Caenorhabditis elegans: one gene and its partner. The protein of the gene in region 2 purifies or fractionates together with the protein of the main gene of each other region. This does not show direct contact. Each region holds a gene or a part of one and is shown on either strand. Other genes may lie near its edges.

Region 1 (4,093 bases), on a different chromosome or scaffold from region 2:
GCAGAAAAAAAACCCTTTTGAAATCCACGTGGAAACGGGCTAACGATGGGTCTCGTTAGGTTTTTGGCGGCAAAACTGGATGTTCAAAAGTTTTCAGTTAGTTTCCCCGATTTTCAAGCATTTTTCGTTGTTTTTAATGATTTTTATGCCGAGATTTATGAAAAAATTTATTTTTTGACATCAAATCATTAAAACCAATTGAAAATGCTTTGAAATCGGGCAAGAATAATTGAAAAATTCGATTTTCGGTTTCTTAACCTAAAGAGACCCATAGTTCAGGGGTGGGGCGTTTACTTAGAAAATCTGCGATTTCTTACAATTTTCAGATCTTCTTTAAGATTGGGATTATTTGCAATTTCCTCAACTAGCGTCGAAATCTGTGTAGCCCGAGTTGCCATTCTAAAATTTTCAGCCTCAATCCAGAAAAATAAAATTAAATCTGAAAATCAAATAGAATATCGAAATAAAACGAATCAATTGAATGATCATCTCAATCATCCCACGGAAATTAATATTTATGGATTTTTATATTAGGAAGAATATATAAGGAATGACAGAAAATACGAAGTTTCAGAAAAAAAAGTGTCTGGCCACCGCGCCTCTATAATCAAGGAATATAGGAGATCAAGAAGGAAAAGCATATATACACGGTGACCAAGGGGTAAATATAAATCAAATTTTCGAAATTTTAATTAAATTTAAACAATTTAAACATCCGAGCGCCATATATGAATCTTGTTGTCTGGCTCGAGAGCTCCTGAGGCAATGATGTTCTGAACTGGATGACAATCGGAGGCTAGCACGGGTTCTGAAATGGAAAAAATTTAAATTTGCATTTTTATTTTATTTTTCGACTTACGTGTGTGTCCTTCAAGACATTGAACTATTTCCCGAGTCTGGAGATTCCAGATGTAGATCTTACAATCTTCGGAACCACTGATGATCCATTTTCCACCGGTAACAGAGAAGTTGGCGAAGATGCAATATTTGCTATTCTCGTGTCCAGTGTATTGTTTCAGGGTTTTTCCTTTCGAGAAATCCCACAATTTCAAAGTGCTGTCGAGGTTCGATGCGAGGATGTATTTTCCGTTTGGAGAGAACTTTACAAATGCCACCGGAGGATTCTCGTCGTCGACCAGAGTCTTGATGCATTGCCCATTGGCAGTGTCCCAGATACGAACTAGACCATCGTAGGATCCCGATGCGATGAGGCTGCCGTCTCTGTTGAAAGACACTGCTGACACTGGATCTGAGTGTGCTGGGAGGGTTTTTATGCACATTCCTGTCTTGACATCCCAGATACGAACGGATTCATCGAATGATCCGGAGACAACGAGCGATGATTGTGGGTTGAAATTGCAGCAGAAGACGTAGTTATTGTGTCCTTTCAAGGTTTTGGTCATTCTCGACGTTACAATTTCGAAGATTTTCAGTGTTTTGTCGTCGGAAGCAGAGACAACACAACGGCTGTCGGAACTCCATGCTATATCGTTTACACCCAGTTTGTGGCCGGTGAGCTGAAAATTTAAGGATTAATTGTAATTTTCATGAGCGGAAACATACAGTTCGCTCACAAATCATGTGATCCATGTTCCAGATTTTGACGGTTTTGTCCGCGCTGCTTGTTCCGAGATACTTTCCACATGGGGAAAATTTAGCTGAAGAAATCGATTTTGTGTGTCCTTCCAATGTACACATCAGCTTATAATTTGCTGAACCCGAGGCTGAAGCTCCGGCGGCGTTTGGATTGGGAGTTTGGGCACTGGCACCTGGAGCGGGTGTGCCAGTCGGATTTGATGGCGAAATTGAATTGGGAGAAGTCTGGAAATTGACTATTGTGAAGTCTTATTCAAAAATATACTATTTAACAATAACGAAACCTACAGATGGAGCAGGAGCTGAAGAACCTCCATCCGGAGCATTTGGTACTGTTAATTGATCGATTTGTTGTGTTGGCTGTTGCTCGGCAGCTGAAGCAGCATTTTCGCTGGTATCCATATCTGAAATCACAGCAAAAATCAAAAATTAAGTTGAAAAATGAAGAAATTCATTCAAAAAATATAAAATAGAAATCGTCGTAAGATGCAATGTGCGGTACGCAGAGGCAAGGGTGCATGCACAGCGAACACACAATTTGACGCGCAATGTTTTTGCAGTTTTTTTTTCGGAATTTCTTTTTTTTCGTTAATGAACTCATGTCATGACATGTATCCGTGTCTGATACGTGTTAAAATATTTATATATTCATTCGATTACAGATATAACAAACTTTTCCAGTCATACAAACACTTTATAAAACAGTTAAGCGAAAAATTGTCGGTGCATTATTTAATCTTCCTCGTCTTCATCTTCATGACGAGCCACAGCGGGAGGAATTCCATACATGTGACGACCACGACGAAAGAGTGGCATTCTAAAAACTCCGACTCTTGGCGGTACTTCATCATCGTCATCATCCTCGTCTTCAGCGTTAGGATTCTCGTCTTCATTGCATTTTTCGGAATCAACAGCGAGTGGTTTAACTATTGGCTCATCAGGCAGAATAACTTCGACTTGAATATTGGCAACTTTTGGTCCGTAGAATCCTCTCCAAAATTGTCTATCTTCACCTTCATTCAGAATAGTTAAATGTCGAATTCCAGACGGGTAATCGTCAAACTCAATTGTCCAATCTTCCCAAGGTTGACCAGTCCATTGAGCCCATTCCTTATTTACAGATTTATATCTTTTATGATCAGTGTTGCTCATAGTTTGTACATGGCCAAATCTTTCAATCCACTGAGTCTCGTGATAGTTCAACTGAGCAGCAAATGAGAGCCTGGCTGCACAATCATTACGATGATTGACTTTCTGTGTAATTCTAATTCTCGGGCGAACGTGATCCAAGATCCATGGGTCAATTCCAGAGTTCACCAAATCGATGAAAACACTGATTGAGCTCTCTGTGAATGAAAATACGAAGCACTTGGAAACATCCGGATGTGGTTCACAACCGTTTCCTCCATCTCTTTCCATGTGGATTCTGAAATTGTAAATATTGATTATTTTAAGAACAAAGTATTGACATACCCACTGCCATTCGCTCTGATTGAAAAATCATCTGAACGGAGAGTTCCACTTATTGTGTTGTCACGTGCATTTTCAAAATGAGAAATGAAAAGCGGAGTGATTGGTGAGTAGCCTCTTCCAGACAGAACCTGAAGTAAAACTTTGTAATTTTATTACTATAAAATGCGATAACCTACTATTTTTTTAATATTAAAATTAAAACTTGAAGTGTCAATTTCATTGTCTTCATTTCCAACAAACTTCTTCTGTGTCGCTGCTCTTCTCCACTCCAAAGATGGAAGAACATTTGATATATTTAAAATTCGAGCATATTCAATCCAAAACGAGTCACTTGATATCAAATCATTGAATCGATGGCAAGCCAATTGGCAGTTTAGAAGTGATTTTTTGTCCAGCCTTCGGAAAATTGGCGAGAAACATTCGTTCGGCACAGTTTCTGCATCTCTGAAATAATTCTAGGTGAAAAATTGATATTTTAATTAAGAAAAAACTCACATTATCACTGGAACATCGGTTTTGAACTGTAGACTTTGCATTATCGATGAGAACGCTTTAAACATTTGGGGTCGATGAGAACAATATTTTTCGATTTTAAAGAGAAGAAATGAGTCAGAAGGAGAGAGACGCAGAGAATGGAAGTCTTGCGAAATGCGCATGCATGTGATATTCGTGTTCCAAAAAACTATCACGCTGTTAATATTATTATTTTAAAGCAAAAATATTAATAAGAAAATATTCAATGCTATTTTGAGAATGAGAAAAAAACTTTCTGACAAAAATATTGAGAACCTCTAGATATTCAACTTCTTTATATATTTTATTTTTTTCCTCATCTTGCTGACTGCAACTTTTTAGATTAGTTGATATATATTTGTCTTTCTCTTCTCTTAGTTTTACAGGTTACGAAACATTGATGATCTTCCTTATCCAAAGATACGTGGACAGCAAGAAATAACTTGTCCCACTTTCTAGGTTATCGCCGCCAATACCAAGGTCAAGCAATTCATGTTCTTCAGATTTGTGT
Region 2 (5,263 bases):
CTGAACGTGTGTGTGTGTGTGTGTAAAAGACACGGCAATTAATATCGTGGCGAGACCTTCTCTCTTTCTTTTACCGCTCCCGGGGTCCTCCTCAATTCATCCGCTCCTCGAGACGAAGACGTCGACACAATCGGTGTTTATTTTTGCGACGTAGGGCAATTTTACTCGCAAACATATGAGAGGGGAGGCGCCGACGACACCCGGGCGGGCGGCCTGACGAGAGGTTTAGATAGCGGGGGAAATAGAGAAGTTGGAATGAAGCGGCTGCTATTGCTGCCACCGCACGGCAAGAAGCGGACACAATTCAACCCGAAGATATTTTTTATGTGCACCTAGATGAACTCTTTTTGCAAAACCTCTCAATTAGTAGACCTTTGAAACTCAACAACGTTTGGACGAACCTAACTTGACACCGCCGCCTTTTTCTCTAATCTTATCTGATGAAACAGAACATCTGATGTTATCACAATCAATCAAATCTTATTCATCTCTACGAATTCGTAAATGTTTTCACTTACATATAAATTGGAAGAAAAACGGATTATCGTTCCAGAGATCAAAAAATGATGTGCCTCCCCTTTTTTGCAATTAATCCTCAACTCGTATTTCTCTTTGTATGTCTTGAAAATTGAAATTTAGACAGTTTAGTTGTTATCACGTCAGTTTTGTGTATTCCACTTGAACTATCTATCTGGTTGGTTAGTCTCCTCCCACCCATGAGTCTTTCATTTATGTTTGTCTAGCCTGACAATTGACCTGACCACCAACCATCAGGTCTCTCCCACGTTTTGTATTTTTATTATGCACATTACGAACTGTGTGAAAATGGCTGTCGTATCATAATAAATTTTGGAAAAAGAAAACATCTGAAATGTTGCCAGTTCTTTGATTCTCAAAATGTTCAAATGATATTCATAAGACTCTCATCTTGTTTGCCATATTGTCATTAGCAGGTCATCCTCTTCTATTCAATTCTGGCTAATCCCCCGTTCCCCCTTTCTCTTATAATTCATCGTTCCTCACTGTTTGGTTGAATGAAAGAGCACAACAACACTTGTAATGAGTTATTTCATATTTTGAAAAAGTTGCCACGTCATGGAAAGCCAAGACACAGTGGCGGTCTGCTTTGAGGTCGTCACTGTCACCGTCGAACTGTTTTTGATCGCAAACATACATCGGTTGTCTCGTCTCTCGGGTTGTCTCTCTCTACCTCTCTCTCTCTCTTTTCCTTCGGTGACTACCTCTCCTCCCTTCCCGCCACACCGTCCTCCCCCTTCCACCGACTATTCCACCTTTTTGTGGTATGTACTAGCACTATTCTCTGCGTCTGTTTTACAGTTCTCATTCTCTCACACACACTTATTTTTCCCCAATTCTTATGGTAGTTGAATGTGAGTACAGTGTCCACTAGGATCTAGACTTCAGGACTCATTCTGAAAGTTGAGCCGAGGTCACGTGTGAAAACTGAGCTCTTTTCCTACACCTTGCCCCTTCTTGACAATTGTCGTTCTTCCTCTTTCTTATCATCACTTGACTTTTTTGAGCGACATGCTGGACAAGACAAGTCGTTTAATGGATGATGTTGCGATTTACTATCATCTGTTAGTATGCGCTAAGTAGGTGCGAACGTATGACGAGTTACAGTAATTTATTAAGCTTGAAGGTTTTTGAAGGATTTTATGAAGTTTGATCAAGTTCTTGAGTTAAGTAAACATTTTCTCTTGTGATCTTAATTGATTGTGAAAATAGTGAACAATTCAAGTTCTTGAAAAGATTTGATTTGTGTAAGTTAGAAAATGTGTGTTACCAATTACTGTTGTATTTGACTTCTAATGGATCTTCCGAGTCAATCAGATTCCTTGGCGCTCGGTGGTCCTGCTCCTGCTGCTAAATACACCAAAATATTTGATGAATGCGGTGCGACGGCGATGCCGCCAATGTCTCTTTTCCTAACGGACCAGTCGTGTATGTGCTCTGTGTATGTGCCCCACTAACCGACGACGACGACCCTCGCCCGCCCCACGCCACTCCCACACCCCACCCCGTCTTCATCCCTTTCCTCTCTCCCGTCTTCCTTTCTTCTATCCCTCGGTGCTGTTCTAGTTTGTGTTTTTACTAGGCTCTAGAGGGTTCCGGAGGGAAAGAAAAAAGAACTTCTGTGCTTTTCATCACCATCTTCCTCTCTCATCTCATCTTTTCATTTTTTATCCAGCTGATTTTCGTGTGTTCTCAATGATTCAAATTAAGACCAATTCTTTAGGATAGTTCATCATTTTTGGGGGAGCAAACTGGAAAAACTAAAAAAGGCAACAAGACAAAGATGAGCCGCTTTGACAGCCAGTGCAGTAGTGAAGACGTCAACAAAGAGGACGAATGTGTGCCGTCGTCATCTGAGGATAGCCAAGGTAATGAAATTGTAACTGAACCGTCTCTGTGTCTTCTTGTATGTCATGTCAACCTAGATACGGGTATTCCCAGTGGGGGCCGTTCTTTTAGAAAGATGGCCCCATCTTCACCAGCGTAAAATGTTATGATTCTCGCTGCGGATTAGCGCTTAGCGGATTAGTCGAACAAATGTACGAACACATAAGAAGACACATGCGGCAATTCTTTTTTGTAACTTTTGATTGTGTGATCTAGATTCTAAAGACCGCCTACTTGAAATAATTTAAAATATAAATTATCAAATTTCAGACGGCGTTTCTTCCCCAATGGAAAACGATGACGAACCAGAATTTTCCCAAAAGCATTACGATATTGAACCATGTTATTATAGTCTTACAGGCAAATCGGATAGGAATTGCCGTGGAATAGTAAGTCATTTTTTAATTCAAAAATCTGAAATTTGAGTAATTTCCTGTACTCTTTAATAGTTATAATCTGAATAGACATCTTATGTATGCGTATCTTCTTCCCCTTCAATATCTCAACACTCGAAAAACCAATTAATTGTCGTTCTGTCGAGTTTTTGGAAGAGACACAGACATTTAGGCAGTTTAGTGTGTAGGGGAGGTCAAAAGGAAGAGGAGACGCTGGTCATAATTCAAATTCTCTCCCGATTAGACGAACATCGCTACAAATAGACAAAAACCTGGATTTCAATCTTTTTTCACCCGTTTTTTCTGCGAAACGTTTTGATGGCTAAACCTCAAACATTGCGCTTACACACACACACATTGCGAGCTTCAAATCGAGAAGAACCAGATAGTCAAACACTGAGAAGATCGCGAGCCGAAAAAAAAACCGAAGTGACCTCTCTTCTCGTTTCGTCAAAAATTGAAAATTGAACTTTGACTAGATTAGTTGTCAGTCGGCAGCATACTTCCTCGAATTGTGCGCATGTTTTCCAAAAAAAAGCGAAGCGAGGCAAAAACAGCTGCCCAATTTTTGATCTGAAATTCGAGACAATTGCTTTTTTCTGGCTGGCAAGGAAAGCAAAGTCAACAGAAGTTTTCGGAGACCCCAGAGAGATGCTTCTTCCCTCAAGAGAGTACAAACAAAAGAGACGCTTGAGAGTTAAAAAGATAGATACTATGCGACAATAGACACACAAACACAAAAAAACATTTTTTGCCGCATTATATGATTTGTTTGTTTGTTTTGAAATGTGCGCTCATAATATTTCATTCTCTCACAGTTTAGTGTTAGTTGGCATTGACCTAGTGTGAGACGAGGTGCCAATTGACAACTGAAGCTAATGAGAGGAGAGACGCAGACGACAAGTACAAGTGAACACTAGTTCATTTCACCTCAAAGATACAGAGAAACCGGAAAGATAAATAAGACAGACTAGTTTCTAATATAATATCGTTAGTTGAAAGTTTGAAACATACAAATCTACTGATTTACTAAACATATTTTTTCAGGTATACCGGTATCGACAAGACAGTGATCTAAAAGGGTTTCAATCACATGATGGCACATTGTACAGGCTACGAGATTCAGTATTCGTAGAAGTGTCACAAAACGAGCCGTATGTGATAGCGGCAATATGCGGATTTAAATATGTGAGTAATGAGATCGTGAGGCATGTCAGCAGATGGTTCTGCCATATTAAGGTTTTTGAAATAATTGTTTCTTGGAAACTTGTTCCTCAAAAATCAGAACCACAATAGATCAAATCGTTCCACAGTGTTACAATGAAATATTTATATAATGGGCAACACTCAGTGAATGTAGCGATAAGATAACAAATTCGGCATTTAAAAATTAATGTTGCGAGAAACCGGGTGATGTTTGACAATTTCGAAATAAATTGATAGAAAAGGGGGTTTAAGGACAAATTGAACTTTTTGGAAAATGAAAAATGAGGTTTTCTTTTTGAAACTAGAGATTCTTTGATACTTTATAATCTCTGCTGACCTCTTCTCAAATTCCAAACAACTATCAATTTACTTGTTCTCTATATCTCTTCATTCCCTTGTTCCTTGAACTACTGGTTTAGAGGAGGAGAGAACCGCACTTGTGTAAATATTGACACAGTTTTAGTGGGTTCATGTATTCCCTTCATGTTTTCCTTTCGACTGATAGCACTGAATACTTTTTTAAACATAAAAGTATAAGGAAGATGTCATTGAGTCATTTGCCCACTTGTTCGTCCTTCAGAACCCACTAAAAACCGTGTCATAATCGGATTGCGCGGGAAGTCGTTGAGAATTAGAGAATGCATTGAAAGTGAAAAAACATAAACTTTTTAATTCAAACACTTTTATAGTATCATCACAAAAACATACATTTTAGTATACACAATAAAAGTAGAAAGTTTGCTCACTTTTATGAGCTGTGAGAAGAACATAATGTTCCTCTTTGTTGTTGACAAAGCACATTCACGTGACCAACTGATGAGCTTATTTTAGAATTTAAATAGGAAATTGGGATAACTAGTTTTTAAAGCCAAAATTCTAAGAGCAACAAAATTACAATATTTTCTAGTTTTGACAACGCAGGGATAATTTTTCTTCTGGATTTTCAAAGCCGAAAACTGAGTTTATCAAAAAAGGTAAATTCCTTTGACAGGGCTACACATAGTATTCAAAAAATGATAAGAGATTATATATTTTTCAAAACAAAATAAAGAATACCAATTTTCAGACAAAACGAGATCACGTGGTAGTGAAACTTACGAGGTACTTCAGAGCAGACGATATACCTGAGATATCTTTAAATTTAATGAAACAAGAACGAGCTGAGCTTGAAATCAATCCACATTTATGTCCAGTTAGTTTAATTTTTAAGATTTTCAGAATTACTCACATTTATTTTT

Evidence for each region.
Region 1: the proteins of egl-27 (region 2) and wdr-5.1 purify together in Caenorhabditis elegans (affinity purification with western blotting, with the first as the bait; one study listed by BioGRID). This does not show direct contact.

Annotation. Positions count from the first base shown.
Region 1 is NC_003281.10:3,703,192-3,707,284, reverse strand, and holds wdr-5.1 (WD repeat-containing protein wdr-5.1), read right to left. Parts: upstream 2,001-4,093; 5' UTR 1,999-2,000; coding exon 1,885-1,998; intron 1,822-1,884; coding exon 1,564-1,821; intron 1,518-1,563; coding exon 860-1,517; intron 809-859; coding exon 708-808; 3' UTR 501-707; downstream 1-500. Other genes in the region: dph-1 (2-(3-amino-3-carboxypropyl)histidine synthase subunit 1), read right to left, coding at 318-398; C14B1.3 (F-box domain-containing protein), read right to left, coding at 2,329-3,022, 3,070-3,197, 3,246-3,513, 3,565-3,629. UniProt on the Caenorhabditis elegans protein: Contributes to histone modification. May position the N-terminus of histone H3 for efficient trimethylation at 'Lys-4'. Required for di- and trimethylation, particularly for the trimethylation at 'Lys-4' of histone H3.
Region 2 is NC_003280.10:6,832,761-6,838,023, forward strand, and holds the start of egl-27 (Egg-laying defective protein 27), read left to right. Parts: upstream 1-2,260; 5' UTR 2,261-2,320; coding exon 2,321-2,405; intron 2,406-2,694; coding exon 2,695-2,813; intron 2,814-2,826; exon of another isoform or gene 2,827-2,933; intron 2,934-3,866; coding exon 3,867-4,007; intron 4,008-5,091; coding exon 5,092-5,217; intron 5,218-5,263. UniProt on the Caenorhabditis elegans protein: Transcription factor which promotes stress survival and delays aging. Required for cell cycle progression and development of the mesodermal and endodermal embryonic lineages.